4 linked regions of the Diceros bicornis minor genome follow. The protein of the gene in region 2 interacts with the protein of the main gene of each other region in a pairwise test. Links are inferred from orthologs where the notes say so. Each region holds a gene or a part of one and is shown on either strand. Other genes may lie near its edges.

Region 1 (6,952 bases), on a different chromosome or scaffold from region 2:
GAGCCAGGTGAACGTAAGCCCCACCATCAGCCTCCTCTACGCCACTCAGGGAAGGAGCTGAGGAGACCCTGGCCTCGTGGACCCCCTTGGTTGACTGTAGCTTCAGGGGTCCCCTTCACCAGGTTGTGGTGGACTATCAGTTCCTTGGACACACAAGCCCCTGCACCCCCACCGCGTCTCCCCATCACAGGTGACTCTCTGAGCAGAGTTCTCTGCCTCCAATGCCATGGCGCAGCACACAGGTGTAGCCCCCGCCTAGACCCCTTTTGTATATACGCACCCGCTGTGCCTCTCCTCTTCCTAGAGCAGGTCTGTAAACGTCCTCCTGTGACCACTCTTCACAGCACAGAAAAGTACAGAGACAGGACTTGGGAGCAGAAAACCCACGATCTGGTTCTGACCTGATGCTAGAGCCCGGCCATCAGATTCCTGGGGTCTCAGTGCGAAATGGAAATAACAGCTGCTTCCCATCAAAAAAAGCACCGGGGGAGAGGCGATCCCTCTGCTGCTGTAAGACGATCCTCATGCAAGGGGCTGACTTCCCCCTCCCCCTTTAGAGAACTGGCCCTGGAACTTCAGAGGGTGGGACCGTTTCCTCTCTTTATCTCTGGCCCACACATGGGCCAGAGCTTTGCACACTGAGATCCCTGATTCACATTAGAATAAACACAGAATCGATTAAATAAAGAGGGTCGTGTGCCCCTTAAATCGCCCTGTGTGCCACAGCGGCCGCAGCGATGGGGTGAGTCCCGGCTCGGCCTCTGACTCTCCAAGCTCTCGCAAGTCCCCGCATTTCTTTGGAAAGTATACCGAACTAGGAACCGGCAGGTCTGGTTCCCGTTCCGATTCTTCCACTTCCTGGGTGTCATTTAACCTCGAGCAGGTTTTCCCAACTGTGGAACCAAGAAAGGGGCAGAATGAAGAGCACTTCCAATCTAAGCCCTCAGTCCTCCTGTCAGTGCAGAGGGAGGTTGCCGCAGTCCTATCCTGGGCAGGAGGGGGTGTGGGCAGAGCAGAGCTTGTCCCTGGCCTCCCCCAGCCCCTCGGAGTCTTTCAGGATGGTAGGCCTTCGCAGCCTCTGCTCCCCTCGGCCTGAGGGTCCAGGGGTACATAATGCATGTGGAGAATGGGAGGCTGAGAGTGCAGGGGTCCCCAGTCGGCCCCACCCTGTCCCGGCCCACCCGGAGAGCCCCAGTGAGCTCACGTCTGCAGTAACCCCACACTCATAACCAGGATGCTGAGACAAACCTGGAAGCCAGGCCCAGGTGAGGAGCGATGCGTGTCTCCTTAGGAATGTGCTGCCCAATTAAAACTGCCTTCCGGATGGAGGGATGGAGGGCTCGGGCGGATGCTGGGACGAGTTCCCCACACAGCGCTGGCTGGCCTCCAGGCTGAGTTGTTCCACAGGCATTTATTGAGGGTCTACTATGCACCAGGCCTGGAGCTGGGTGTGGGGAGACGAGGAGGAATAAGAGCCACACTGGAGAGTGCAGTCTACTGTCCCAGACACAGCTTGGGAAGCAGACTGTCAGAAAGCCTCAAGGGTTCTGCTGGGTAAGCCCCCAGGCCCCTTTACAGTCCCCAGCAGTTGAAGCCCTGCCTTCTCCTCACCACAGCCCTTAGCCCTTAGCCCCTTTCCCTTCCTTTTCAAAGCACCCACAGCCCTCAGCCTGCCTCTGGCCTCCTCGTCCTGTTAAGCTGGAGCGAATCAGGCTGCCACCTCCTCACCTTCTCTGCTTCTGGGACAGCCTGGACAACCCTCTGTCCTGTCCATCTGTAGTGTAGACATTAGCTTAAAGCACTTTGTCCTTGGCAGGGTTCCAGTAGGGGCCACAAAGTGAGGTGACACCCCTGTGACTAAAGGATGGGCTCATTCCCCAGATTCCCCAGGTGACTTCCCTGTCAGAAGTGGGTCCTCAGACAAGACAGCTGAACTTGGAAGTCAGGCCTCAGACAGGCAAGAGGCCTCCCCCTCTCTAAGGGCACGTGCCCTAAGGGCAGACGTTAGAAGAGGGTAGAAACCTAAGTGTGGCCTACACAGTGTGGGTTAAAGCAGTCAGACTGGTTGTGTGAAAATCCAGGCTTTCTCCTTAGCTAGCTCTGTCTATATCTTTTAGGATTGCACCCCACTGTGAGAAAGAGACACTCAAAAAAACCCACATTTTTGGGGGGGTGGTTATTTTTCTCAGGTAATGAGAAGTCAGAGGCTAGGGCTTGAATGTGGCTCCAAATGCCATCAGAGACCCAGGCTCCCTTTTTCCTTCTACCCAGCCTTCCTTAGCATAGACTTCTTGCCTCATGGGCACAAGATGGCTGCCCCATCTCCAACAACAAGTCTAAATTCCAAACAAGAAGAGGAAGGTCAAAGCACCAAGTCTCTATCCCTTTTAAGGAGCTTTCCTGGAAGTCCCATACAACCTCTGCTTACATCTCATTGGCTCGAACTGTCTTCCATGGCAAGAAAGGCTGGGAAGTGTATTTTTAATTGAGCATATTGCTGCCCCCAACGAAATCAGATTTGTATAACTAAGGAATATAAACCGGTACAGAACTTGTAAGGAGAGAGGTGAAGACCAGATTTCAGGAAGGAGAAGGTGTGGGCTGGAGATGGTAAAAGAGGAGCAATGGCTCCCTGTTGCTTCTGATAAAGATTCTTTGCTTGACCAAACTTTAGTCAGGCTGCTGAACCTTCTCCGAGGCCCATCTGTGCACTTCCTTGTAAAATCCAGTTTTAGCAAGAACTCCCAACTCTCGATATCTGATCATCACCCTCCATATCTGATTGGGTTCCTCATCCACCACCATCCCCCAGGTGACATCTGATCACCCTGGCCTGTCTTCAACAAGAATCCTGTTAGGTCGGTTTAGCCAGAATTCCCCTCACCCGTGAAGTTCCCTCTTAGTAATTTTCCATCCACTGACCCTCACCCTGCTCCTGGGCTATAAATTCCCACTTGCTCATGCTGTATTTAGAGTTGAGCCCAATCTCTCTCTCCCACTGCAAGATCCCATTGCTGTGGTCCCTACAACTATCAACATGGCCCCTCTTGAACAAAGTCTGCCTTACTGTCTTCAACAAGTGTCATTCAATATTTTTTTGTTCAACCCTTCTTACTCTAAAGGCTCCGAGGGCTGATTGCGACCAGCAGTGGGGCAGATGGCTAGACAGCTGCTGGGGCACCAGCCTTCCCCACAGAATGAGGAGAGAGATATGGAGGTGGCAGGGACCTCGGAGGTCGCCAGCCTCACTCTGCTCTGCCAGGCAGGCCCCTCACTCACCCAGTTAAGAATCTCTCCTCTCCCCCAGCATCGTCTTTAGTAACTTCACCTGCTTAGTCTGCCGCACTTCCTTCTGCTGCAGGCGAAGCTCAACCCGGCAGCATCGAAGAAACCCACCCTTTTAAAAGTGTTCTCTAATCCCTTACGTGCATGCCTTTTGTGTGTGTGTGTGTGTGTGTGTGTGTGTGTGTGTGTGTGTGTGTGTGTGGAGGGCTGGGGAGGGGGAGGCCTTAAAGCAGGATGAGGGCAGGTTCTGTCTTCACCATCTTTGTATCAGCGTCTACACACCCCCTGGGCTCAAATAATAGTTGAGAACGGCTTCGGCCGCCGGCAGCATCTTCCCACCCCGCCCCCCTCCACCCCCACTTCGGCAGAGAGACATTCTACTTCGGAAACTTGACTGGAGCCTTTCCCAGCGTTTTCGGGGCAGCGCGAAGTACCACCCTCTCTCCCAAGTCCTCCTCCCACAAGCAGCGCGGGCCCCCGTCCTCCTCTGCTCTCTGCCGCCCTCTACCTGCGCAGACAGCCGGGCCGCGAAGAGCGCAGGCGCCAGCGCACGCCGGCGTGTCCTGCCCCCACCCCCTCCCCACCCCCCACCCCCTCCCCACCCCCCACCCCACCCCCGGCCAGTCTGCCATTCGGCGCGTGCGCATGGAGTGCGTGCAGCTCCGAGGACTGAAGAGGCAGGTAAACCCGCCGAAGCGGACAGGTGGTGGGGGTCGCGGCCCGGAGAGGAGCTGCCGGGAGTTCGCGCCCTGCAGGTCCGGGGAGTGCGGCGTTCGCTTCCGCTTGGGCGACTCTGGTGGGCTCCGAGCGTCGCTTTTTGCCGGGGGGCGTGACCTGAGTCCGCCTCCCGGGGCTGGGAGTGGAGGGGGATGGGGCTCTCCCTAAGGCCTGTTAACAGTTTGGTGCATATTCTTTGTTCAGGACGGTTCTCTTGAGGAGAGCACAGAGTTTGCAAATAGTTGACAGGAAGGGGCGAGGCTGGGCAGGTTGGCGAAAGCGGGCCCGGTTCTTCCCGCTCTGTATAGGGGGTAGGAGGGGGTGGGGAGCACTGCTACAAAACGAGGGCCCTGGTAGAAATTGTGCAGGTGTTTGGGATCACACGCAGGACGGCAATTTGGTCATTATTGTGTTTTCAGTTTTCTCATAGGAAGATGCAGTTTCTTCTCTTGGCGCAGTGTGGCCACTAACGCCCTGGCTTGCCTCTTTGCATCCTAGGACATGACACAAGTGGCACATACCGGACATGGGGTCCCAGCATTCCGCCTTTGCTCACCCCTCTTCCTGCAGGCGAAAGAAAGATGACAGGGAGGATTTGCTGGCTGAACGGGAGCAGGAAGAAGCCATCGCTCAGTTCCCATATGTGGAGTTCACCGGTCGAGACAGCATCACCTGTCTCACATGCCAGGGGACAGGCTACATTCCAACAGGTGAGAGTCTCTGGCGATCGTGGGAAGGACGATTCCCCAGTGAGAATCTCAGGGTACCCACAGGGCTTCTCCTGTCTTCTAGACAGAGCTTTTCTCCTAGGCAGTAATACCATAGTCACAGACCATGCCCTGAACAGGAGCGGGCTCAGCTGACTTGGTAAACTTGGGCAGGTTCCACAACTTCTCTTGGTTTCCTTATATTTGAAAGCCTTTCTTTTCTTCACTTCTGCTCTTTTGTTCTTTGTTGCCTTGGCTTGGGACATTTGGTTTGCTCTATGTTGTGGGATTTGTTGACAGGCGCATTTGTTCATTGTTCTCACTCATAAGGCCTGGCACAGCTTTGTGGGGTTGGGGACCATCTTGGAAGCGTCTTTTCAAGGAAACGGATAGTGAATCTTTAACAACCTAAGGTCTGAAAAATATATCAAGTGGGAAGAGAAAAACAACTGCTCAGGAGTGGAGCCTGGATTAGGTGCAGGATCATCTGTCACTAAGTTGGCCCTCGGAAAGTCTTAACAGTTTAGATGGAGAGTCACAGAGGTTTATCGCTGGTAAGCACCTTAGAAACCATCTGCTCTGAAGCCTTCATATTACAGATGAGGAGATAGTGCCCTAGAGAGGTAATGACTTGCCCGAGGCCATGCAGTAACGCCAGAACAAGATCCTAGATTTCTCAACTTCCTTGTCACTGCTCTGGCAGGTGATTTGTGGCACTCTCTATAGATTTACTTGTTCCTTGTTCATTAGACCCAAAATATGAAACTAGTATCTTAGAAATGCCTAATTCCAGGGCCGGCCCCGTGGCTTAATGGTTAAGTGCGCGCGCTCCGCTACTGGCGGCCCGGGTTCGGATCCCAGGCGCGCACTGATGCACTGCTTCTCTGGCCATGCTGAGGCCGCGTCCCACATACAGCAACTAGAATGATGTGCAACTATGACATACAACTATCTACTGGGGCTTTGGGGAAAAAAAAGGATGATGATTGGCAATAGATGTTAGCTCAGAGCCGGTCTTCCTCAGCAAAAAGAGGAGGATTAGCATGGATGTTAGCTCAGGGCTGACCTTCATCATAAAAAAAAAAAAAAAAAAAAAAAGAAATGGCTAATTCCAGACACATGTATGTTGTGGAATGCTGATGTGCCATCTGAAGGGAAGTACTGCCAACACATGGGATTTATTTTACCAAAATAATTGTTTGGTTCTTTTCTAGAGCAAGTAAATGAGTTAGTGGCTTTGATCCCACACAGTGATCAGAGATTGCGCCCTCGGAGAACGTGAGTTGCCTGCCTCTCTCCTGTTAATACCTACTTCTGTCCCTAGTCTCTTTTTATACGTACAAATGTCCGTTAACCTTGTGAAAACTTTATCTATTCTTGTAAATCCCCCATTTCCTTTAATACTGTTTGCTCAAGCAAGATAGCTCTGCCCTCATCACAATCTGGGGAAGGAAACTTGAAGCTAGAAGCATTCTGAGGTGGAGGCCAAGTGAGGGAATTGAATTGGAAGGAATTGGAGAAGAGGGGTGTCCTGGGAGGTGAAGAGATGTTTCTGTCCACACAGCTCCTCTCTTCAGCTTCTCTTGCCAGATCGCAAAAAGTGTTCAAATGGGTTCAAAAGGCTTCCCCCACTCAACTCACTCTGCCTGGTTTGTGGTTCCTGGCTCTTTTTACTTTCCTGTCCCTCCCCCCTCCTTCCTGGTTTTGCACTTAATCTTGACTGATTGGACCTTGATGTCCAACTACCTGAGTCAGTTATATGCTGTGTCATTTGCAGTAAGCAGTATGTCCTCCTGTCTGTCTTGCTGTGTCTCCTGGCATCTGGTTTGGTGGTTTTCTTCCTATTTCCGCATTCGGTCCTTGTGGATGATGACGGCATCAAAGTGGTGAAAGTCACGTTCAATAAACAGGACTCACTGGTAGTCCTCTCCATCACGGTAAGACTTCTGGCCGCCCTTCCCGGGCTGTGCAGCTGCAAGTCTCGGACCCAGGACACTTACGCTTGTTTCTGCACTTGCCCTGATCCAGGCCACCCTGAAAATCAGGAACTCCAACTTCTACTCCGTGGCGGTGACCAGCCTGGCCAGCCAGGTTCAGTACATGAACACAGTGGTCGGGTCATACGTGACGACAAACGTCTCCCTCATTCCACCGCGGAGCGAGCACCTGGTATGCTGTTCCTTTAGGATCCTTGCCCCACAGCCCTCAGAGAAGGGAGTGTGGGGATGCCGTAGCCTTGTTAC
Region 2 (7,577 bases):
AAGGTAGTAGATGGAAACGTACCCTCTACACAATACAGTATTATAAAATGCAAGAAATATCATTGATCTCATACCAATATTATCATGGTAGAATGCAAAGAATTGGCTGTACAATTTCAGTTTGGACATCAAACAATTCTTGCCAATTTATGTTTTTAATGACAGCTGTGTTGTGTTTTCTGAGTCCTGTTTGAGCATGTCTGGTGTAAAGGTATAATTTCCTTTCCAAGGTATGCGATCTTTGGCTGGAGTCCAACTGAGAAGTAGTGCGACGTGTGTTGGGCTTCATTAGCTACCTCCAGCTGGGTACTCACTTGCAGTCCTCACTCTCCAGCAGGCCCCGGTACGTGTTGATCTCACTCTCCAGCCGGGCCCGGACGTCCAGCAGCACCTGGTACTCCTGGTTCTGACGCTCAAGGTCACTCCTGATCTCCGCCAGCTGGGACTCCACGCTGGTGATCAGGCCCTGCACCTGGGACAGCTGGGCGCTGTAGCGGGCCTCCGTCTCCGTCAGCGTGTTCTCCAGAGAGTCTCTCTGTGGGGGGATAAAGAACGTCACAGAGCTGCTCCTTCAGTGGGCTTCTCCATGGGGCTCCCAAGAAGTCACAGCTTCAAGATTTAGGAGAATGTGGCCCAGAGGGCATCCCAGTGACTCCGATTCCTCGACTTCACATTTCTCAGCAGGACGGCTGAACAGTACCCACCAGGTTGTGCTGGGCCTGCAGCTCCACCTCCAGGGCGTTGACCGTGCGTCTCAGCTCGACGATCTCCACCTGGTAGGACTGCAGCTGCTCCGAGCTGGACACCACCTGCCTGTTCAGCTCCTCGGTCTGAAACACCACAGGGGAGAAGACAGGATCAGACCCTGCCTAAAGGGCCCCACGGGGCCTCGGGTCCTGAGCAACCACGTGCTGAGATGCCCACCTGGGTGGTGAACCATTCCTCCACGTCCCTGCGGTTGGTCTCCACCAGGGCCTCATACTGACTCCTGGTCTCGTTGAGCACACGGTTCAGGTCCACGGTGGGGGCCGCGTCCACCTCGATGTTGAGGCGGTCTCCAAGCTGGCTACGCAGGGTGTTGACTTCCTGTGGATGCAGAAAGTGCAAGAGTGACTATCCTTAATGAAGAGTGGACTCTAAGAAATGGCATTGCTTGTTGAAGCCCTGTTAGTCTATTTTCTCAGAAAAGAAACTTGTAGTGCAGCAATCTGTGACAACTCAAGGCAAAGTGGTCTGCGTTCCATGTGACCCAGCTCCCTCCACACCATGACTGTGCCATGACACTTGACTTCAGAACAAAATTCCCAAGGATTTGCATGGATGCCACTGAAGGACGGACTAATACTCAACTTTCCTAATTTGCAGACTGGCTGCAGATAACCTCATAATACAATGAATTGGCTGTACAATTTCATATTGTATATCAAACAATTCTTGCCATCAAGTAAGAAGATCGTGTCAGGGCCCCACCCAGGTGAGAGAAGAAGCCTCAGATCACTCTTCACCAAGACTTTGAAAGAGACTCAGATTTACCAGACTTGATTTTTTTGGTCTTTGGGGGAGAGAAATTACTTTGCACAGCCTGATTAGATTGATGCTGAGACTCAGTCTACAACTCAGTAACCAATCACAAGCCGATGGAGGTCCCCTGGGAAACTCAAATGATACACCAGTTTTGAATGAAAGATATATCTTATCTGGGAACAAGGATAGGTTTCATCTCTCAATATTTTTCTTTCATCATGAAGTTTTGGTGTTTTTCAAGGAAATTTATAAAGTCACCTTCAGCCTGGTACTCCTGATTCTGCCACTCCAAAGACTAAAGCCACCCTCAGCCTGACACTGAATCGGGTTTCTTCATTTCTCATTTCTGGTCTCACCTCCTCATGGTTCCTCTTGAGGCAGAGCAGCTCCTCCTTCAGGGACTCTACCTGGGCCTCCAGGTCAGCCTTGCACAGGGTCAGCTCGTCCAGGATCCTGCGCAGGCCGTTGATGTCTGACTCCACCAGCTGCCGCAAGCCCAGCTCCGTCTCATACCTGCACAAGGATAGGGTCAGAGCAGTAATGGCAGACCTTCGAGACTCACAGGAATGACCTTTTCTAACCCCATTCACCTTGTCTTCCCACTTTCTGCAATGAATAGACAGAGCATTCTGGAGAGTCAATCAAGACAAAATGTTGATCCAAAAATACAGATTGATTTGAGTCCTCATCTATTTTTTATTCCTTTTCTTGGTTCCTCTCCATCTCTGCAGGATCCTTCACAACCAACAGATTGAAGTGTTGTTCAGTAAAACTATGGAAATCCCTTTTCTTTAACTAGAGATTTAAAAAAAAAGAGTGGACACCAGTGTGAATTCTGAACAACTCACTTGGTTCTGAAGTCATCCGCGGCCAGCTTGGCGTTATCAATCTGCACCACCAGCCTTGCGTTCTCAGACTTGGTGCACAGGATCTGGGGAATGAGGTGTTGCTTAGCGAGGATTGAAAATAAGTATGAAACCATCAACTTCTTTTAAAAGGCTTTAAAAGCTATTTTGAAGGTAAAAAGGAGAAGCAAGAATCATGATGGCATAGAAGCAAGAAACACGGTTCTCTATCACAGATTGAGAGTCATAGCAAACTTCCCTTGCTTACAGATGACAGCAAGGCCCCTCACCTTCTGCTGGAGCTCCTCGATGGTGCGGAAGTAGGACTGGTAGTTGGGGCACACTTCCGGCTCCTGCTGCTGGCTCCGCTCCCGGATGCGGCTCTCCAGCTCCGCGTTGTCCCGCTCCAGCTGGCGCACCTTCTCCAGGTAGCTGGCCAGGCGGTCGTTCAGGAACTGCATGGTCTCCTTCTCACTGCCATTGAAGGAGCCCTCGCAGAACCAGCTGCAGCTGCCCATGTTGGCGGGGATGTTGCAGGCCCCGGGCAGGGTGCAGCTGCGACAGCTGGGGGGAACGCAGGGCCGGGCAGAGAAGCTGGAGCGGCAGCTCAGGTTGGGCAGGATGCAGTTGTAAGGCATGGTGCTGGAGGGAGCAAGGGTCTCAGCTGAAGACAGAGTCCAAGTTGTCCCAGGAGCTTGTGGGCCTCCTGCCTCTGGGGAGCATTTATACCCCCTCCACAGAGGGTGTGGACGTGGTATTTAATGTCTTTTTTCTTTTTACTTCTTCACTGGCTTTCAAACGCCCTTCCCTTAAGTCTGTTATATGCCTTCCTCAGAAGAGTCCCCTGTCCCATAAAATTCTTTACTTGGGCTTCTTGCTAAGTCAGGACTCCTCTTGAGGCTGTACACCCATGAAATCAGAGTTTCGTGGTAGACCTTCAAAGAGCCCACACAGTCTAGCCCAAGGATCTGCCCTTGTTAATTGGGAGTTCGTCCATCCAATGACATTGCTTTGTGCCACCTGATCCTGTAAACCCACGATCAAACTCATCTCCTGGCCCCCTGGCATTTCTAGGGAGGGACTGGGACTGAGTCAAGGAAGAAGTTGCATTAAGTGGGCAGCAGTGGACTCTCTTCCCATCTGCTTTGAGAGAAGGATCCTTCAATGATGTAGCGTCCCAAGCCTTGGAAGCCTTGAGGTGGATAAGGATTGACTTGGGCCGTGGCTGAGAAGGATGGACAGTTGTTTGTGTAATGCCTCCTGTATATCACTTAAAAAGATTTTAGAGAAATTTTAAAGGTAGGGGTTTTGATAAATAGTTTGAGAACAGGGAAAGTTCTGGAGGAAGAGATCATTTCAAAAGAGAGCTGAAAAAATGCAAGCTGAGAGATCTATATAAATGCATTGAAACTACCTAGGAAAAGGATCTGGAGGCAGGTCTGAGGGAAAGGAATAAGGAAGTGCTTGTCAAAATTTTTCACCTAAGTGTCCATAGCATTAGAACAGAGTGCGCGGGTAATCGGGAGAGTCAGGAGATAGCCCCAAGGGGCCTCCTCAAGCATGAAAACTTTGAAGCTGATCTTAAAACTTCACGTGAATTGACCTTATATTCCATAATATACTCATGTTGGCTTTAAAATGAAAAATCACGTTAAGGTTTCCAGTTAAACTTTCTAACGTTTTGCCCAATTCTCAAGGTGAAATTGACACACCAAGAAGATGCACCATATCCTGTCCTGCGCTTCCCATTCTCAGCCTTGCTGGGTTATGTGCAAGCTGGTTTGAGAACCAAAGGTGAAAACGTACCAAGGAGGTCTCTGTGGTCATGTAATTGAATCCAAGGACCTGGGCACCAGGACAGAAAATGCTGAGACACAGAGTAAACAGGGGATTTTGCAAGGCAAGCTTAGCGTCATTTGGGATTGATTTGGGGGATGAAGGAAGGCACGAGAAGGTCTGAGGAAGGGGTGGCCAAAGTTCTGCATATATAAAAGTTGCATAATTATAGGCACCACCGGGTCCCACCTGCGTCTCAGGTATCAGCGCCCCAACCTCACTGTGGCTTTGGCCACCAGCCATAGCAGTAGTTTTATTGACATCTTATTGGAGTCCTTCTCCCCATCGAGCTTTCATGATAGTATTCATGCAACGCTCTGCTTGAGTCTCAGTACGCTCTTCATCTACCCTCTCCAAGGCCATTATCACCACTTATTATAATGCCATCCAGATGAAAAGCCACACTGTGCTACAAAGAAGCCCCAGACATATAATAAAATCAAAATTTCTTTGTTTGCCTCCACGGCAATTAAAGGGGGAGAAATGGGTGGGTCCTCTGGCAGGCATCACCGAGACTCTCCGGAGGAAGGGCACAAGGCTAGGTGGCGGCAGTCAGTAGGCAGCTCCAGTCTCGCTTCGTCCAGGCTGGGGACATGTGGAAAGGCCTGTGAGTCTGACTGAGGAGCATTCACTGGTAGGGAACAGCACAGGACTCCTGCCCCCAACTCTTATCAGCCTGCTCTAAAGCACTGGCTTTCCAGCAAGGAGCTGTTTCCTCAGTCCTGGCTTCCTCCCCACCCAGGAAGGAGCAGGAGCTAAATGCCAGTGGCACTCTCCAAGCTCTTTGGTCTCATCTACTGACTGGCCAGCGTAGCCTTGTGGAGGCTTTAGTCAAAGCAGAATGTTTAGATTCTAAATAAGAGAAGATTCAAAGATGGGTCAACGAGAGAGAGAGAGAGAGAGAGAGAGAGAGAGAGAGAGAGAGACAGCAAAAGTAGAATTTGCATACAATGCAGAGAGATCAGAGAAATGGGGAGAGACGGAAACAGGAAGAGGTGTGTTTCATAAAAGAGATAAGAACATCAAGAAGAGGCAAGGAGGGAACCTGGGGGGAATCGTCAGAATCACTTGGGGCCAAGCTGATCAGACAAAGCTAGTATGTCTTCAAATGAGTGAACCTGGAGAACGCAAAGCAGCCAAGGCAACCTGAATTGATGGACAGAAGAGTGGGCCGCCCTGCTGAGTGTCCTGCGAGGTATAAATGGAGGTGACTCGGAAAAGATCTACAGACACAATACCACACCTTCTGAGGCCTCCGAAAGCAGTGACGTTGTTCCAGGGTGTCCAGACCAGAGCATCGCCTCCACGATCCACTCTGGGATTTGTTCGTGCCTGAGAAATGCACTGTGGTCTACACCCCAGCAGTGTAAAGTCAAAGGCGCAAGGCTACCTGTTTCTGAAGGAATAAGGAGTGTGGAGAGGGGAAGGAAGAAAGGAGCAGACGGAATTAAACCTGCACTGGCTTCAGGTCACGGCCAACCAGCAGCCACAGAGAAGATGCGGGAAAGAACGGGTTACCCCTGTTACCTGCCTATTTCTCCTGGAGATACCTCTTTTCCCTGCAGATGGTGAAATGGCACAAGAATTCAGGATGGAGAGAGCAGACAGACTGGCTGGTGAGTAAACATAATGCCGCCACACCATTTAGCCTCTTTCTTGCAGTGTTTTCAAAATATCAATAGGCTTGAGAGAATTTGCTTCTTGAATTAATGGGGAGAATGGGACTCTGGCGTTGTGAGGTCTCCATGACCTCACACAGGTTAGGGGTAGACTTCATGTAGTCTTTTGATCTCCTAATTGAAGTATCTGCAAACTTTATTCATTCGGAGAGAAACTGAGCAGTCAAGGAACTATCAAACCCACTTTCTTTATTTAGCTCAATTTTATTCAAAACATATTTATTGAGCAGCTTCTCCACGCTGGGAACGGGACTAAATTGAAAAGAAGAATCATAGTTCAGGCAGTGGAGTGTCTTTTTATGAGTAATTCATATATGGGTCCCCCAAATATATGAGAAATAACAAGAAGGTAAGGAGGTGAGATATTTGAAAGGTGTGAGGAGGACGTTTGGAAATATGTTTGTGTTTAATGTAATTAGAAGATTGCATACATGATACTACGGGCAGCAGTCATTGGTTGAACATCTTTCAAGCACCTGACATAGTCCCAGGGCTGGGGACAGGGGGTCGGTGGGGAGTGGGATGGTGGGGAGATGACATGCCCCTGCCCTCTGCCAGCTCTCAGTCCTGCTGAGCAGACAGGTCCACAACTGACTCTGACATAAGGTAATACAGTTGGGCCCTTTACCCCTTAAAAATTTCTTCCTTTCCCCCTCCCACTTCTTCCCACGGCTATTCCTGCCCCTAACTCCAGTCAGGCTATTTCAGCTCAATTCTTGATTCTCAGCCAGGAGATGAGGGGTGAGGCCATTTCAGATTATTTATCTTCATCCCAAAGGAGATTTATTCGTGACTCCACTCTCTAGGTGACTCAGAGGTAGGATTCAAACAACTGATCTCATTAGAATCCTAATCCCTTTAAGAATCTTTTCTTCAACAGCCCTGGTAACTGGTTATTTTGGTATTTGGTTCTCATTGCTTTGGAGACCACAGGTGGTGACTGCCCATGGCTTCAGCCCTGCAGCGTCCCCATAGGACCGGTGGGCATACAAGTTTCAAAGCAGGTGAAAGAGGCTTCCAGGGATGTGGTATGGGGCAGAAGAAAGAAAGGAGGCAGTACTAAATCAAGCAAGTAAAAGAGGAGATAAAAATAGAAATAGAGACTAGTGGAGAGAAATGGAGGTGACGCGTGAAACTGCTGGTGAGCAGACACAGTTCTGCTTCGGGGTGAGAGAGATCTACTGCCGGGTGGAGCATTTGGTTGGAGAGCCTTGGAGGCCAATGTGAATGAGGGAAGCACACATTTAGGATGTCTGAGAACCAGGGAGAAGGAACGGGGAAGGGAGGCAAGGGAGATTTGGGTACACAAACCAGCAGAAAGGGGGAGCCTCAGTTGAAGGAGGCCAGGAGACAACCAAAGGCCAGAAGCTGAGTCCACAATGTGGTTAGGAAGGAGAGGACACTGCAGGGTGGGAGAAAGCACCAGGAAGCTTATCCTTGGGGAGATTCCCAGGCCCTGGAAGACTTTGCCCTGCAAAACCCACCTCAGCTACCTCGCCCCAGCATTTGAGAGTGGGTCTGAATGTGAACTTTTATCCAGATGTACCTCCAGCAAAGCCCTTAGTGGCTCGGTGCAGGGTAAGGACAATGGATCAGGAATGAGAAGACTTGGGTGTGAGTGAGACCAGCTTTGAGACCTTGGGGTGGGGAGGTCACTCACCTCCCTAACCCTGAACCTCTCCCCTGCGAAATG
Region 3 (7,970 bases), on a different chromosome or scaffold from region 2:
AACTTGAAGGATGAGCAAAATGCTAGGAAAAGCACTGCAGGAAGAGGGAGCAGCAAGTGCACAAACCTTGAGGCAGGAAAGGATCGGTGTATTTGCAGGTAACTGGAAAGAAGGGAGGGAGGAGGAGATGAGTGGGAAAGAGTCAGATCATGCAGGGCCTTGCAGAGCTGGATTTAATTCTAAGTGCAATAGGAAGCCACTGGAGGGTTTTAAGCAAGAGAATGACATAATCTGAATTAAGACGTTATAAGATCACTCTGGCTGCAGTGTGTAGGATGGACAGTTAGGCGCCAATTGCAATAATCCAGACAGGAAATCAATGATGGCTTGAATTAACGTGGTGGCAGCAGAGAAGAGAGCAAAACAGATTGGAGATATATTTTGGAAGCGGAGCTGACAGGGTATGCTAATTGAGTGGAGATGGGGTGCAGGATGAGGGAGAAGGAGAAATCAAGCACAATGGTTGGGTTTTCAGTTTGGGCAACTGGATGGATGATGGAGCTAATTCCTGAGATGGGGAAGAACAGATTTGTGCGGGTGGCAATCTTGAGATGCATATTAGGCATCTGAGTTTATATTGCAAGTAGGCAGATGGAGAGTCTGCAATGGAGGTATAAATTTGGGTGGAATTTAAAGCCATGGGGCTGGATAACCAAGCCTTAGGAGGACTAACAACCGAGCCAACGTTTAGAGGACTCTATGGGAGCCTGGAGCAGAGAGCAACTGACTGACTGTGGATATCAGGGAAAGCATCAGAGAGGAGATAATGGTTAAACTGGGTCTTAAAAGATGAGTAGTTTGTCGGAGGAAGTAAAGGGAGATAATCTGGGAAGAGTGAACAACATGTTCAAAGGCCTAGAGTCAAGCAATAGAGGAAGCCCAGTCCGGTTCACTGCTGTAACCCTAGGGCCTCGCACACAGTACATGTCCAATAAATATTTGCTGAATGACTAGTGTGTTTAACAACTTGCAGGCAGCTTGCTAAAATGCTGGAGAAAAAGTTGGTAGTGGGGGTAGGAACTGGTAGTGAGAGATGAGGCTCTAGTATAGAGGGTAAGAATAGGCTATATCACCATCTGCCTGGAGAAGGAGATGGAAGATTAATTGAAACATTTTATAGTAGTGGTGGGGAACATGGTCAAATATGCATTTTAAAGAATCCTCAGGCTGTGGTGTAGGAAATATGTGGCGAGGTAGGGAGGCCACACTGAAGGCAAGGAGGTGAGACTGGAGGTGGGGAGACCAGTTTAGAGGCTGTGCAGAAATCCAAGTGAGAGGTGATGATGGCCTGAACTAGGGCAGGGGCTGAGGGATGGAGCCCAGAGATGTTAAGCAGGAGGACTTGACAGGACTTGGTGTGGGGCCCAACCAAGATGGACATCCCCAGCATGGCAGTGGTCACTTGTATATCCCCCTCCTGGGTAACAGGAGGTAGCCCGGTCCTTTTGTGCTTCCTTGACTCAAAGGTTTAGACTGGGCTAAAAGCAGAAGGCCAAAGCTCCTTCAGGCTTTCCCTAGAAATCGAATCCCTCTCAAGGGAAAATGCCCCTTGTCCCTGGCCAGGGAGGGAGGATAACAGGAAAAAACTCTAAAGGCTTCTTTGAGCCAGGGAAGGGAGAAGAGGCCTCAGCCCCCTGGCAGAACTCTATGGCCATGCCCTGGGGGCTGACAAGGCCTCAGAGAGATGCTTACTGGGACCCAGCACCACGTGGTTCCCAGTGTGGATAAAGAAGCCTGTACCTCACAGGTAATCTGGGTAGGGGCTGGGATGTCAAGGGACCACTGCCATTCAACAAGGAGGGTGGCCTGGAACCAAGAGGCCCTCCAATTTTCTGGGGAGGGTAGGAGTAGTCAATACTGTCTGACATGAAGTTTGCCTGTCAAATCCTGCAGAAATGGGGGCTCCAGCCTGAATTAGGTTTTATTTAAGAAATAAAGAAATGGTTATTCCTTGGACACCCAGACCCAATTATACAAGGGATTTCTGGCTTGGGAAAGGGAGCAGCGCCAGTCCTAGAGGCAGGGAACAGGGAACAGGGAACACAGAGGAGCACTCCAGAGTGGGGAAGATGAGGAACATGAGTTCTGTTTTGGACTTGCTGACTTGGAGGTATCCGTGGGACATCCAGGTAGAGGTCAAGCAGCAGCTGGATAAATGCACCACCATGAACTCAGGTCAGAGGTTTGGGCTGGAGGCTTAAGTTTGGAGGCCATTGGTTTGCAGAGGATAATGAAAGCCATGGGAGCGTACAGGATGGCCGGAGAGACAGAGTCGGGCAGGGAAGATAAAGCAAGATGCAGAGCCGGTGGAGGGAGCGCTTCTCCCTTCCCAGACTCCCTCCCAGACTCCCTTCCCAGACTCCCTTCCCAGTAGGCTCGGTCCCTACACCGTCTCATCGCCCAGCCCACAGGGGGCCGCCCGACCAGAGAGGTTTAGAAGGGTTGCCCCGAGCAGCCGAGACCCCAAAGCATGACCTTTCCCCTGTTTCCAGAGCTCACCCAGCAGGGCAGGGAAAGCGGAGCTAAAACCCAGCCCGGGGAAATCAGCAGTAGCGGATAACCGAGCGGTTCCAGCCGCGGCAGCGGCGACGCAAGGGCCCCGGGAAGGTGGCGGGCCGCAGACCCCCGCCTCCTGGCCGCCGCCTTCGTTGCCCTGGGTGAGCGGGAGCGGAAAGGGATGGCGGAGGATCGTCGGCTAGACCCTCAACAATTCCGTCTGGGGTCTCCTCCTGCCGCCCCCATCCTATGCGCCCCCCCATTCGGCACCCCCCCGCGCCACCTCAGGATGAGACCCCCGCCCGCCCGGCTCCGCCCCGGGACCCTTCCTCCTCCCCCGGCTCTACCGCCCGGTACCGTCTCCCGGGGAGATGGTCTCGATCTCCACGCCCATCGCAGTCCCACTGGCCCCGCCTCCGAGGGTCCCCGCTGCTGCCCCGACCCCGGCTCGGCTCCGGCCCTGGCCCCGCTGGCGCTCCGGCTCGCCTCTCCGCCGCCACTGCAGAGCCGGAGGAGGTGCGGCTGGAGTCGGGACCTGCGCGGGGAGGGGCGACGGGGAAGGGGGCGGCGGGGCGGAGCGGCGCGGAAAGGTGGGGTCGGCCGGGGCGGGGCCCCGGGGAAGGGACCCTGACGCGGCTGCTCCCGAGCTTCGCCAGGCTGTCACGATATTAACCCACTGAGTGGGGAGGATGGTGAGCGAAGCATGAAGAAAGTCGCGCATCCGCCCACCCATCTATCCATTCATCCATCTAGCCATCCATTCATCTATCCATCCGTTCAAAACATATTTATCTAGCACCTACTCTTTGCTAAGCTCTGGGGAGTCAACCCAGTCCCACAGACTAGGAAAAGGCCGGCAACTAAACCAACACTTTAATTAGATGCGCTCACTACCATGGAGTTCAGAACGTTATGGAAGCACCAGAGAGGCACCTACCCCAGCCAGGCTGCCCGGGTCTGTAGGAGCAAGATGGGGGTAGCGGTGGGGTGGGGTGGAGAGATGGAAGGGAGGAAACTAGTCTTTGCTTACCCTCCCTCAGCCACCCTAAACCCCTATTCACTATCTTGCGTAGTTCCGCCCCACGCACAGGTGAGTTTTCGAGGCAAAGAACTGCGCCCTGGGGATACCAATTGAATTAAGACAGAATCGCCGTCCTCAAAGAACTAAATCTGTGACGGATGGGGACACAGCAGTTACAGCGTGGAGTGATTCGTGCTGTGGGATGAATGAATGAGTTCTATCTTGAGTTCCTCCTCCAAGCCAGACCCATTACCTCCGCCCAAGAGATCCAGGAATCTGGAAAGTTATCTTTGAAGGAGGTAACATTTGCTTGAAGAATGAATGGGACTTTAAAATTATTCTTTTTTTTTCTTCTCATTCTTCCCTGCATTGTTCCGAAAATTGATGTGAAGATATGATCCTGACAAATGGCCCTGGAAGATAGGCACGGGGAGAAAAGCCTGGGCAAAGGCGTCCAGACTGGGCCCTAGAGGAGTTCTTCCTCCATTTCTCCACTCGTCCAGGTGGTTAGGTGAGAGTTCCGGTTATCAGCATCGCTGAAGGAGGACTGGCTGTTATTCAAGAAAGATGGTGGTCAACTGTACGAAGAGGGTCAGGATCTGAAATTCCCCATAGGTTGCTGCACGGAATGGCCCAGAGACTCCCAGGAGTGTAGCTGGTCTAAAGCCTACTGACGCACTAGCTCCTTGGACTATGGCCATAGGCAGGCACTTTTGGGGTAAGTGTAGAACAGGGGTTTGTAACTGGGACAGGTCCATGGAGCAGCTCCAGTTGAATGCACAATATCTTGTGTATGGATAAGAACATTTTTCTGGGGGGATTTTATCATATTTTAAAGAGGTCCTCAACTCCTTCGATTACCCTGCCCTCTCTCCCCCATCCCCCCCGCCCCAAAAAAGGTTAAGAAACCGTGTTGACGCTAGGGCTCCTGGACTCCTTCTTAGACTAAGAAAACTGGTGAGAAGTGGGGGAAGGCGATGAATCTCCTAAGAGAGGGAGAACTTGTAGCTGGTTTACAGTCGCGCCGGGGAGGCGGGGGTGGGGGGGGGGATGTTCAGGGAGACTACAACTCCCAGAGATCCGTGCGGCAAAGCCCGAGCTTATTGGCCAGTAGGAAGGACCATCTCCTAACGTGACACAAGCAAAAGCCAATAGACAGGGGGCATTGCCGAGCTTGCCCGGCCACAGGTCACCTATCAGAGGCCTGGGAGCGAATGCTTCCGATACTCTCTCAGGGCTTTGGGTCCGCGGTTGTTGATCCAGCTCGGCCCCTTGGAGGGTGATTTTCTGTGGGGCAGTGAGACCAAAGGTATTTTGTTTCCACTGCTGCCCGTCCTGGCGGGTGTGGGGAGGCTGTGGGTTGGCGGGGAGGGAGGTGGAGGGACCAGCACTTGGGGGCAGGGTGGAAGACACCCAGGTGTGAGGAGAAGGATGAGGGGCCCGCGTGCGAGGGCTGGCGGATGCCGACGAGCCAGGGGTGGGTTTAAACCAATAAATCTGTCCCTGTGACTCGTGAGTGGCGCTTCAGGGAACATATGCTAAGGAAGCCCTCCAAAATGAAGAAAATGCTTTCTACATAAAGACCTTTATCACAGCGTTATTTATAATAGGATAAAGTTGGCTACGACCAGGTGTATCAACAGTGAGGAAAAATTGTGCAGCTTCATTAAGTGAATATTAAGTGGCTTTCTAAAAATAATTTTTAAAATTTTTGAATAACATGGGAAGATGCTAATATATAACGTTAAGTGAAAAAATCGTGATACGAATTGTGCAGTTATGATTGAAAAAGTTTAAAACTGCGTAGAAAAAAGTGGAGAAATGTCATGATTTTGTTTGGATGAATTTTTTGTGTGTGAATTAACTTTTTACCTTTCTTGTGTGTTAATTTTTTTTTAAATAAGTGTAAAGAACTTGAAATTATTTTATAGTGGATACACAGTAAACTTAGAAAAACAAGTTGAGGGGTAGGTACTTCTGTTTCAACCTAGTGGAAGTGCTCCAGTTCCCCTAGTCCCCTCAATTCTCACCGAGTGTCTTTAAAGAAGATTAAAAACAGATAAATTAAATGGTCATAGACCGAGCTCCAGGTCCTGGTTCTGACCACCTCTCCCCTGAACTAATACAGTGGGCTTTTCTCCCCTTAAAACACCAAAGGCTCCTGATTTCAGAAGTCTTGTAGTCTGAGAGTTAAGAGACGAACAGGTATATAGTTAGCTTCAGGCAAAATTTAAATATTTTAAAAGATACAGAATAAGTGGGGAACTGTTGAAGGTCAGCCTTTGTCTGCTTGGCTCTCTGATCGATCACAGCAAGGCTGTCTACTGCTTCGGCTTTAACTACCAACTCTAGGACAGTGACTCCCAAATCCTTAACCTCTGACTGTCGAAGGTACATTGCTACCCTATAGACATCTTAAATGAAGCACATCTAATATTAAATTTATCACACGCTACATACCCTTCGTACTTTTGAAGCTTGTTCTGCCTTCTGTATCTCTGAATAATGGTTCAACAATTTCACAAGAAAAAATTTGCATGTTATCCTTAATTCTCCTTTCTTCCACACCACTCACATCCTACCTTATGTCATTATCTTTTCCATCTGCCTTAGAAATCTCTCTTGCATCTGACCCTTTTTCTCTACTAAGTAGCTACAAACTTGGCTCACTTTCTCATTGTGACATTCAAACTTTCATGGCCCCTTACTAAAGTTGTCAGCTTTCTTCTTTCTCGGATCCATCCTGCACGTTGTCATGTGAATGTGTGCTGGTTCTTTCAAGTTCCCCAGCAGGCCCTTTATGATTAAAGAGATAAGGTTGGAAAGGTATATCAATATCAGATAATATAAGGCTTTAAATGCCTTGCTAAGACATTTTGAAAGAATTTATTTTATTTATTTTATTTTTTTTTTTTTAAGATTTTATTTATTCATTTTTTCCCCCCAAAGCCCCAGTAGATAGTTGTATGTCATAGGTTCACATCCTTCTAGTTGCTGTACGTGGGATTCGGCCTCGGGTTAGACGGAGAAGTGGTGCCTTGGGGCGTGCCCGGGATCCGAACCCCGGGCCGCCAGCATCAGAGCACGCGCACTTAACCGCTAAGCCACGGAGCCGGCCCAAAGAATTTCTTTTAGATATGTAGACTGTGGAGACTCATTAAAAGGTAACTGAGCAGAAGAGCAAAATGACCAGAGCTGTGATTTTATTTAAAGATAATTCTGTAACCACACACAGCATCCGGGCTCTGTGAGAAAGAAGAGACTGGTATCAAGAGGCCCTCTCCTTGTCCTACCCTACTGAAAGGGAGAGGTGGTTAGGACCTGGACTAGCAATGGAGTAGAAAGGATTGGCACAGATTTTTGAAATATTGTTAGGTTTTTGAGAAAAATAGGCCAGATTTCTTCTTGTTACTAAAGATGAAAATATTGAAATTAATTCTTCTAAAAATCTCAGTAACCATATCATGTTTGTTTTTCCCTCATTCACAAATCCTTACCTTGTGTTACCCCTGGCCACACACACCCTCAATAACATTAGACTGACTTGGGTTGCCTAAAACATATCATATGAATTGGCTTTGATATAATTGGCCCATTAGGAATTTTCTTTGCCAGGAAAATGTATCATGCATTATTTATCAATAAAAGTCTTTTAAAAGTGCATAAGTAGATATTAGGGGAAAACATATTATCTTATGTAAGAGCAGTGGGTTAGAGATGGCAGTTTTCTTCATTACTAATGACAGGGGACTTATTTCTCCCTTTAGCAAGCCACTGCAGAACCACTTAATCTGACATCATGTGTAGAAGCATAACAGACCGTTCCTTCTTAGTAAAAGATTCTAAGAGCCAGGACAAAGCTAGCAAAGTAGGAGAAAAAAATTGCAGGTAAGTTAAAAGCAAATCACCAGGCAGTTTGGTAGAGAATACATTTCTTTGGATTTAGGATCTGAAGGTGACTTCTCAAGTCCTGTACTACTCAGTAAAACAGGATTGAAAAACGTCCATTGGATTCAGTGACATGGATGGCACTAGTGGCTTGGTGAGAGCTGTTTTAGAAAAGAGAGAGGAATGGAGTCAATTTGGAGTAGCTTAAGAACAGAGTGGTGAAGAAATGGACACTGCAAGTTTAGACAATTCTTTGATAGCTAATAAGATTAAATATCAATTTAAATATGTTTATTGATCATCGTATTATTTTGTAAATTGCCTGTTGATGTTCTTTGGCCATTTTTAAATTTAGGGTGTTTGTCTTTTTAACTGGTTTATAAGAGCTCTTTATAAAGTAAGTATTTTTTACATTTAAATCTCTGTTTTCTTGCAGTTAACAAAAGGACTTTTTGAATACATGCTTATAAAAACAATTTTTTCAAAAAATAAGTAAATAAGTAAAGAGGGTCCCACCTCATTTCAGTGTCCACCATGAACAATTTGGTGTGTATCATTCCTGATT
Region 4 (7,423 bases), on a different chromosome or scaffold from region 2:
AGGATTTAGTGCTTCTTCAGCTGCTGTGGACACAATCAAATAATTTTTCTTCTTGGAGCTGTTAGTTAGTTGAATTATTTCAGTATATCCCTAAACACTGAACTATTCTTGCATCCGTTAAAAAGCCAACTTGGTCAAAATAAAAGAAAGTCACTAATTTTCTGACCTGTAACCAGAAACACACACACACACATACCCTTGTGTACGAGAAACTCACCCAAGCCCCCTAGTCCTCCTCCATCATGACCTGGCTTCCTACTTCACAAACAGAGAGCACCAAACTTGACGTTTCACTTTGAACATCTTTGAATGGCTCAAATGTTTCCATCCTAACTACCCCTCCTATCTTCCCTTGACGCTGTCTCCCATTAAAAACCACTCTTACCTCTCGCGCCTCATAGCCAAGCTTGCAGGAAAAGTAGTCCATATCTGCTGTCTCCACTCTCCCCCTCTCATTAGTTGCTCCTGACTCACACTATTATTTTGTGGGAAGGTGTTTCATTTTGAAGATGTGATTTGAAGTGTCTGTGGGATATTTAAATCTGGAGGTTCATAGACTGTACAGGTGTGGAGATCTGAAGGCAGGTTTGGTCTGGAGATATAGATTTTTTAAATCTATCAGTGATTTAAAAAAATAATCATGCATACGGAAGAGAAAACTTCATAGAAAGGTGATAAGTTTCTTGAAAAACATTTACTGTTTCCCCAGTTCCTGCCCCAGAGACCATCTTGTATATCTTTCCAGACACAGCCAGCTTCATGGACATGGGACCTGTGCAGTCACATAGGGACCCGAGCTTAGAAGGAAACTGAGCTTGGTTAAATGCTCTGCTGTCACCATGTTGAAATTCTTCATTTTTGAATAAGGGACCCCACATTTTCTTTTTTTTCTTTTTGGTGAGGAAGATTGTCCCTGAGCTAACATCTATGCCAATTTTCCTGTATTTTATATGTGGGACACCACCACAGCATGGCTTGAGGAGTGGTGTGTAGGTCTACACCTGGGATCTGAACCTGCAAACCCTGGGCCACTGAACCAGAGTGTGCAAACTTAACCACTATGTCACCAGGCCGGCCCCACCTCACATTTTCATTTTGCACTGGGCCCCACAAATTATGTAGTAGGTCCTGTTTCCAGCTATATTCCATGCAGAGTTAAACACATAATACACATAAACACGTGCCCCTCCTCCCACCCCCTTTTCTTTCAGCATTTGGTAATTCTTAAAACAATGTATGTAGATGAAATTTCCCAGGGAGAAGACGCAAAAGTCGTAAGTGTTGTTCACCAAATATTTCTGCTGCTTCTGTTTCTGAGGACATGGGGGATACATGGTGGGATTGCATTTCATGGTTCCCTAGTGGTTGGATGGGGCCAAGTGACTAGTTTTGACCAATGAGTTAGGACCAATGAGTGCATCATTTCTAGGTCAGAGCACTTAGTCACTGCTGTGAGACCTTCCAGATTTCTCATTAAAGAGTTCAAGATAGTGGCTGTCCATTAGTCTTGGTCTCTGAATGACTACAATAAGCAGAGCCTTCTGAGTGTCTTATGATGGGCATTTAGTGTAGATGAGAAATAAATTGTCATTGTTTTAAGCCATATGATTTGGGGGTTATTTGTTATTGCAGCATAATCTGTCCTATCCTGACAGAAATACAAAAAATTCTGAGGCAGAATTCGCTGGGACTGACATTTAAGGGGAGAAGAGAGCCATAGAAAGAAAAGACAAAGATTCGTAGAGGTAAAAATGAGAAACCAGGAGAAGATGTGACCCACAGGAGTCATGGAAATCAAGGGAAGAAACTTCTCCAAGAAGTAGAGACTGGTCAATGGTGTTAAATGCGTCCAAGAGGTCAAGTAAAATAAGGAATAAAATATATCCACTAAATCCAGCAACTGAGAATTCATTGGTAAGCTTGTTGAGGACAGTATCCGTGGAGTGGTGGTAGTGGGGAAAGAGTGGACGGAGGGCTGAGGAGGTGGAGAGGGAAGAGCCTGAGGGATCAGTGTAAGAGTTTAGCACAAAGACTGGGAGGAAGTATATGTCTTTGAGTGGTGGCAAGGGGAATACTGAAGTGATCTGCCTATTCTGGACATTCCCTATAAATGGAATCATACAATGTGTGGCCTTTTGTGTCTGGCTTCTTTCACTTAGCATAATCTTTTCAAAGTTCATCTATGTTGTAGTAGGTATCAGTACTTCATTCCTTTTTATTGCTGAATAATATTCCAATGGATGGATATGCTACATTTTGTTTATCCATTCATCTGTTGATGGACATTTGGGTTGTCTGCCTGTTCACTTCTACATCCACTAGTGACTGGTGCTTTTGGGAATGAATAGCTGTCCAAGGTCACAGAGGTGGTAAGATGGGACATCAGAAACCAGGCAATTAGTCCCTCAGCACCGATGTTCTAACCATGAGGCTTTACTGCCCTGTAGATCTCTTCTTTGATCCACATGAAGATTACTATATCACTCAGAGTGCTGGTAGGAAAGCGATGGTGTACTCCAGTGGGGTAACTAACGAAGGAACCATTTACAAAGGTGCTGGCAGTGTTAAGAAAAAGTAATAAAAGTGGCCGGCCTGGTGGCGCAAGTGGTTAAGTGCGCACGCTCCGCTGCAGTGGCCCGGGGTTCGCCAGTTCGGATCCCAGGCGTGCACCGACGCACTGCTTGGCAAGCCATGCTCTGGCGGCATCCCATATAAGCAGTGCTTGGCAAGCCATGCTCTGGCGGCATCCCATATAAAGCGGAGGAAGATGGGCATGGATGTTAGCCCAGGGCCAGTCTTCCTCAGCAAAAAGAGGAGGATTGGCAGATTTTAGGTCAGGGCTGATCTTCCTCACAAAAAAAAAAAATAAAGAAAAAGAAAAAGTAATAAAGGATGATGAGCTGCCAGGACTGGCAACAGCAGGGAGCTCTTACTACCCCGAGGCCTGAAGGAGGGATTGGTGCTCAGAAGCCCTGCCATGTGCAGCTGGGAGGAGAGGAGCCAGGAATATTCACATCCAACCTCACTGTCTTCCTATTCTCCAGTCTCCTGAACTGGGAGCCAGAAGGTAAGGGAGCCCCTGACGCAGCTCACATGGGTGAGAAAGTCAAATTTAGCTTAAACTGGAAAAGTAAAAAATGGAAAAGTAAAGAAATGGATAAAGTCCACCACAAAGAGAACAGGAAAAAATATTGCTCTGTAGCTGTAAAATGATAATATCCCCCATTTTTTCTAAAATGATAATACCCCCCATCTTTTGAGTGAGAGACTGTTGCTTTCTTACTTACCGAGAAATGTTGTCCTCTAAAATCAAAGTCTATCAGAAACTTTGCTATTTGAAATTGCATCAGTAAGAATGAAATATTCCATTTTTGCCTGGAGGACCCAAGTCACCTTCACACAGAGAAGCAGCTTCGATCTGCACCTAAGGTGCAGAGCTTCAGATAAAGGGATTCTGGACGCAATATTCAACATCTATTATAGTTTTATTGCTTCCAAGGAAACAAGGCCCTGGATCCTCTTTGCTGTTCAGATCTGAAGCTGACTGTTTTATACAAACGTGCTTTGCTTTGAACCTATCAAAACTGGGTTTCATTTAAATTTAATCTAAACTCCACCATCCCCCAGAATCCTCTGATAACTCTGTCCCTTTGTTTGATGATGCCCCACAGCTCCTCTGGGCGCGTGCTCTCTCTCACTGAATGGGTCAATAAACCTAATCTTGTTGGACGGCAAGTTTGTTTCTGGCCGTCTTAGGCTGATTGGCCTAGGTCATGGGTGGTCCTCCTGAGACACAGAATAGGGCGGAGAGTGGACCTAGCAGGTCACGCAGGAAACATCCGGCATAGAAATAAAGTCCTCCTCTCCTCCCACCCCCCAGCAAATCTGATTCCCCCACCATCTCCAGACCTGGGTGTTGTGAGGAAGTCAGGGGAGGGAGGAGAGAAAGAAACCTTCATTCACTCAGTGTTCATATACAGCTGGGTCTGAATAAAGGGTTGTAGAAATGAATCAATCAATCTCTTGAGTGGGGCTTGAGGCAATGGAAAAATCTAGGCCCTTTACTAAGGCACGAGGGAAGCACTGGGTCTCCTGACATTTGAAGGGCTGCCCCTTTCCCCCAACTGAAATGAGTCCAAAAAAGTGAAAGGAAAAAGGGGATAGGCAGAATTCTAAAAATGCCCTTCCTTTGAACACCATCTTTGTGCAGGCATCCGGGGGAGGCCAGCTGGGGCGGGGTCATCTGCCAGGCAGGACTGTAAGACTTGGCTTTTCTTGTTTATCTCCAGCCACTTCTGGAGCGGTTGCCAGGGCCCGCCCCCACTCTGCTGTCATTGGAGGAGCTCAAACTTAAAAGGCTCCTGCTAAGAATCAAGTCGTTTCATTTCCTTCTTACTGGTGGTCCTGCTGTGGCCCTTGTGTGAGGGTTGAGCCCTGGTCCAGCCCCCAGTGAGCAGAGAGCGAGCATTTCACCATGGCAGCCTGCTGCAGCTGGAGTGATGTTTTCCAGTATGAAACAAACAAAGTCACCCGGATCCAGAGCATGAATTATGGCACCATTAAGTGGATCTGCCACCTGATCGTCTTTTCCTACGTTATGTAAGTGGGGTGTGGGGATGACCCCAAATCTCTGTAGTGGTTGACAGCACAGAAAATCCCAAGGTGCAGCTTCTGGTGCACATCTTGAATTTCCACGTGGTTTTAAAATCTGAGATGTGCATTTCACAGCAAGCTGGGGGTGAGCTGCGGGGGGAGGAAGCACTAGGCGGGAGGAAGCAGCGCCAGTCTGCTGCAGAGAGAAGTCACGGGAGGTGAGTGTGACACTTTGGGTTCTACTCCAGGCCTGCTGGGGCAAGCCAGGCAGGGCGTGTCTGGGGAAAGTGGGAAATGCAGGGCAACCCTGGATTCCCAGGAAGGAGGCGAGGATTCAGGGCACGCCCGGTGATAATGCTGGCATCTCTCTGAGTCATCACTGCTTAGGGGAAGGAATAGGACCAGGCTTGTAAATGTAACTTTAGGTCCTCTTCAACGGCAAGAAGGCTCCCCTTGCTCTTTTTTCCCCCCAACAGCTTATTAAGACATAATCCGCATACTATACCACTTACCCATTTAAACTGTACAATTTAGTGGTTTTTATTATATTCACAGAGTTGTGCAATCATCACCACAATTTTAGAACATTTTCATCACCTCAAAAAGAAACCCCACATCTCTTAGCCATCGCTCCCAATCCTCTTATTCCCCTGCAACTCCAGGTACCCACTGATCTCCTTTCTGTCTCTATGGATTTGCTTATTCTAGATATTTCATATAAATGGAGTCATGCAATATGTGGTCCTTTGTGACTGGCTCCTTCCACTTAGCATCATGTTTTCAAGGTTTATCCATGTTGGAACATGTATCTCTACTTAATTCCTTTTTATGGCTGAGTAATATTCCATTGCATGGATATAACACTTTTGGGTGGACATTTGAGTTGTTTCCAACTTTCTGCTATTATGAATAATTGTGCTATGAACATTCATGTACACATTTTTGCATGAACATGTTTTCAGCTGTCTTGGGTATGTACCTACGAGTGGAATTGGTGGATCATTTGGTAACTCTATTTTCAACCCTTTGAGGAACCATCCAACTGTTTCTCACAGCAGCTGCACCATTTCATACTCCCACCAGCAATGTATGTTCCAATTTCTCCACATGCTCACCAACACTTGTGATTGTCTGTCTTTTGGATTATAAGCATCCTGTGAGTTGTGAAGTGGTATCCCATTGTGGTTTTGGTTCACATTTCCCTAGTGGCTAATGCCCCCTTGCTCTTTGTGATGATGGTGATGATGATAACTTGCATCTATGTAGGAAGACAGCATAGTTTACTAGCTAAGGGTTAGAGCAACCTATTCTATCATCCTGGCTAAGCTTCCTTGGCCAAGTCACTTAACCTCTCTGAACCTCAGTTTCTGCATCTGTTCATAGAGTTGTTGTGTGATAATCAAACAAGAAAAGGCATGAAGAGCCCTTATCGATGCCTGGCATAGGGTAAGAGCTCCATAAATGGTAGCTATTTTTTAAAATAATCTTTTTTAATGTAATAGGTACTTTTGTATACATCCTCTCTTTTGACCATCAGAGTAACCACACCCAAGCTTGTGATTTGAGATCTGCAAACATGGATTCAAAAATTCTTTACCTCTTTGAGCCTTGGTTTCCTCATCTATAAAATGATAAATATTTTTCTTTCATATGGTGAAGTCTTATCTTATTTTACATGCGTTCAATGCCCTCAAATTCAGTTACACATGTTCCACGGGAGCATGGAGCGAAAACGCCATTTAAACAGTGCAATGATTCAGTGATTGGGCTCTGGAGTAAGTGTGAGATGGATGCTTTTGAGTTGGGATTCCCTCGGTCAGTCTCTGTTCTCACATGCTTCTCACCAAGTGAGCATCCTGCCGCCCTACCTGTGAATCTAGATACAGATTTTCCACCCAACATATCCCTTAAAATAAGCCAACTCCTTCACTTTCACCTGGAGCAAAACTGGAAAAACAGAAACTTGTTCCAGAGCTGGAGGAAAAATTGGGTCTGATGAAATCACTGAGAGGTGGAAGGTCTGTTTGCTATGCTTTGTGGAAAATTTAAGGGTTTACCAAAGGCAATTTTGACGAGGCACAATTTTTATCTTAAGTGCTGACTTTAGAAGATAACCCCCATGTAAAATGCTTCTTCATTGTTTATATCTTAAAATATAAAATTGAAGAAAAAATATTGCTAACTTTGCTTTTTTCTTCTGTGTTAATGGAAAATCTATTTACATCTCACTGAATGGAGTCCCATGGAACACAGCTTGGGAAGTGCTGCCTTAAGTTGTACTGTGAGGTCTCATGTTGATGTAAGCGCAACTTGGCCACCTGTGAAATGGGTAGACCCACAATTAGCATCAAATAGGACTGGTATGGACCATAGGTGGAAGTCTAGACTAAGATAATATTCAGGATATACGGCAGCAGGTGATGGGTCTGGCCATGGGGTTCTGGGTTCAGATTTGTCCATTCTAGGGCTGAAAAGGCAGAGATCCAGGATCATCAAGTGAGATAGGGCCTCAGTTATTGAAACTGGGGTACAAGACAGGGACTGGCAATAGAGGAAGTAAGACAAGAGGCTGATTGGCTTCTCATAGTCCCTCACAACCAAGTTCAGATCTGGAGCTAAAGGCAGGGGAGGCAGCTACAGGTGGGGTCAAGTGGCTCCAGCTTCCAGGGTGGCAGAAGTGTATGGACAGGATGCTGAATAGTCTGTGTTAGTCAGAATTGTTTGGATAGTAAGTGACAGAAACCTAACTCAAGTTAGCCACCAAACCACACAGGGAATTCATTGCCAAGTAACTGGGCAGTGGAAGAGATCAGACATGGATGGTTATAAA

Evidence for each region.
Region 1: the proteins of keratin, type I cuticular Ha1 (region 2) and TMEM106C interact in binary tests that used the Homo sapiens proteins (3 or more experiments, as listed by UniProt). The two-hybrid records come from large-scale screens. The link is inferred for Diceros bicornis minor from reciprocal best matches to the Homo sapiens genes KRT31 and TMEM106C.
Region 3: the proteins of keratin, type I cuticular Ha1 (region 2) and FKBP1B interact in binary tests that used the Homo sapiens proteins (3 or more experiments, as listed by UniProt). The two-hybrid records come from large-scale screens. The link is inferred for Diceros bicornis minor from reciprocal best matches to the Homo sapiens genes KRT31 and FKBP1B.
Region 4: the proteins of keratin, type I cuticular Ha1 (region 2) and P2RX7 interact in binary tests that used the Homo sapiens proteins (3 or more experiments, as listed by UniProt). The two-hybrid records come from large-scale screens. The link is inferred for Diceros bicornis minor from reciprocal best matches to the Homo sapiens genes KRT31 and P2RX7.

Annotation. Positions count from the first base shown.
Region 1 is NC_080756.1:21,948,931-21,955,882, reverse strand, and holds the start of TMEM106C (transmembrane protein 106C), read left to right. Parts: upstream 1-3,944; 5' UTR 3,945-3,962; exon of another isoform or gene 3,963-4,081; intron 4,082-4,500; 5' UTR 4,501-4,528; coding exon 4,529-4,712; intron 4,713-5,923; coding exon 5,924-5,987; intron 5,988-6,486; coding exon 6,487-6,646; intron 6,647-6,737; coding exon 6,738-6,878; intron 6,879-6,952.
Region 2 is NC_080757.1:40,761,968-40,769,544, forward strand, and holds the start of keratin, type I cuticular Ha1, read right to left. Parts: upstream 3,014-7,577; 5' UTR 3,008-3,013; coding exon 2,660-3,007; intron 2,456-2,659; coding exon 2,373-2,455; intron 2,038-2,372; coding exon 1,881-2,037; intron 1,087-1,880; coding exon 925-1,086; intron 831-924; coding exon 705-830; intron 536-704; coding exon 315-535; intron 1-314.
Region 3 is NC_080751.1:58,294,916-58,302,885, forward strand, and holds the start of FKBP1B (peptidyl-prolyl cis-trans isomerase FKBP1B), read right to left. Parts: upstream 3,006-7,970; 5' UTR 2,891-3,005; coding exon 2,854-2,890; intron 1-2,853. UniProt on the Homo sapiens protein: Has the potential to contribute to the immunosuppressive and toxic effects of FK506 and rapamycin. PPIases accelerate the folding of proteins. It catalyzes the cis-trans isomerization of proline imidic peptide bonds in oligopeptides.
Region 4 is NC_080774.1:8,684,823-8,692,245, reverse strand, and holds the start of P2RX7 (P2X purinoceptor 7), read left to right. Parts: upstream 1-4,406; 5' UTR 4,407-4,474; coding exon 4,475-4,599; intron 4,600-7,423. UniProt on the Homo sapiens protein: ATP-gated nonselective transmembrane cation channel that requires high millimolar concentrations of ATP for activation. Upon ATP binding, it rapidly opens to allow the influx of small cations Na(+) and Ca(2+), and the K(+) efflux.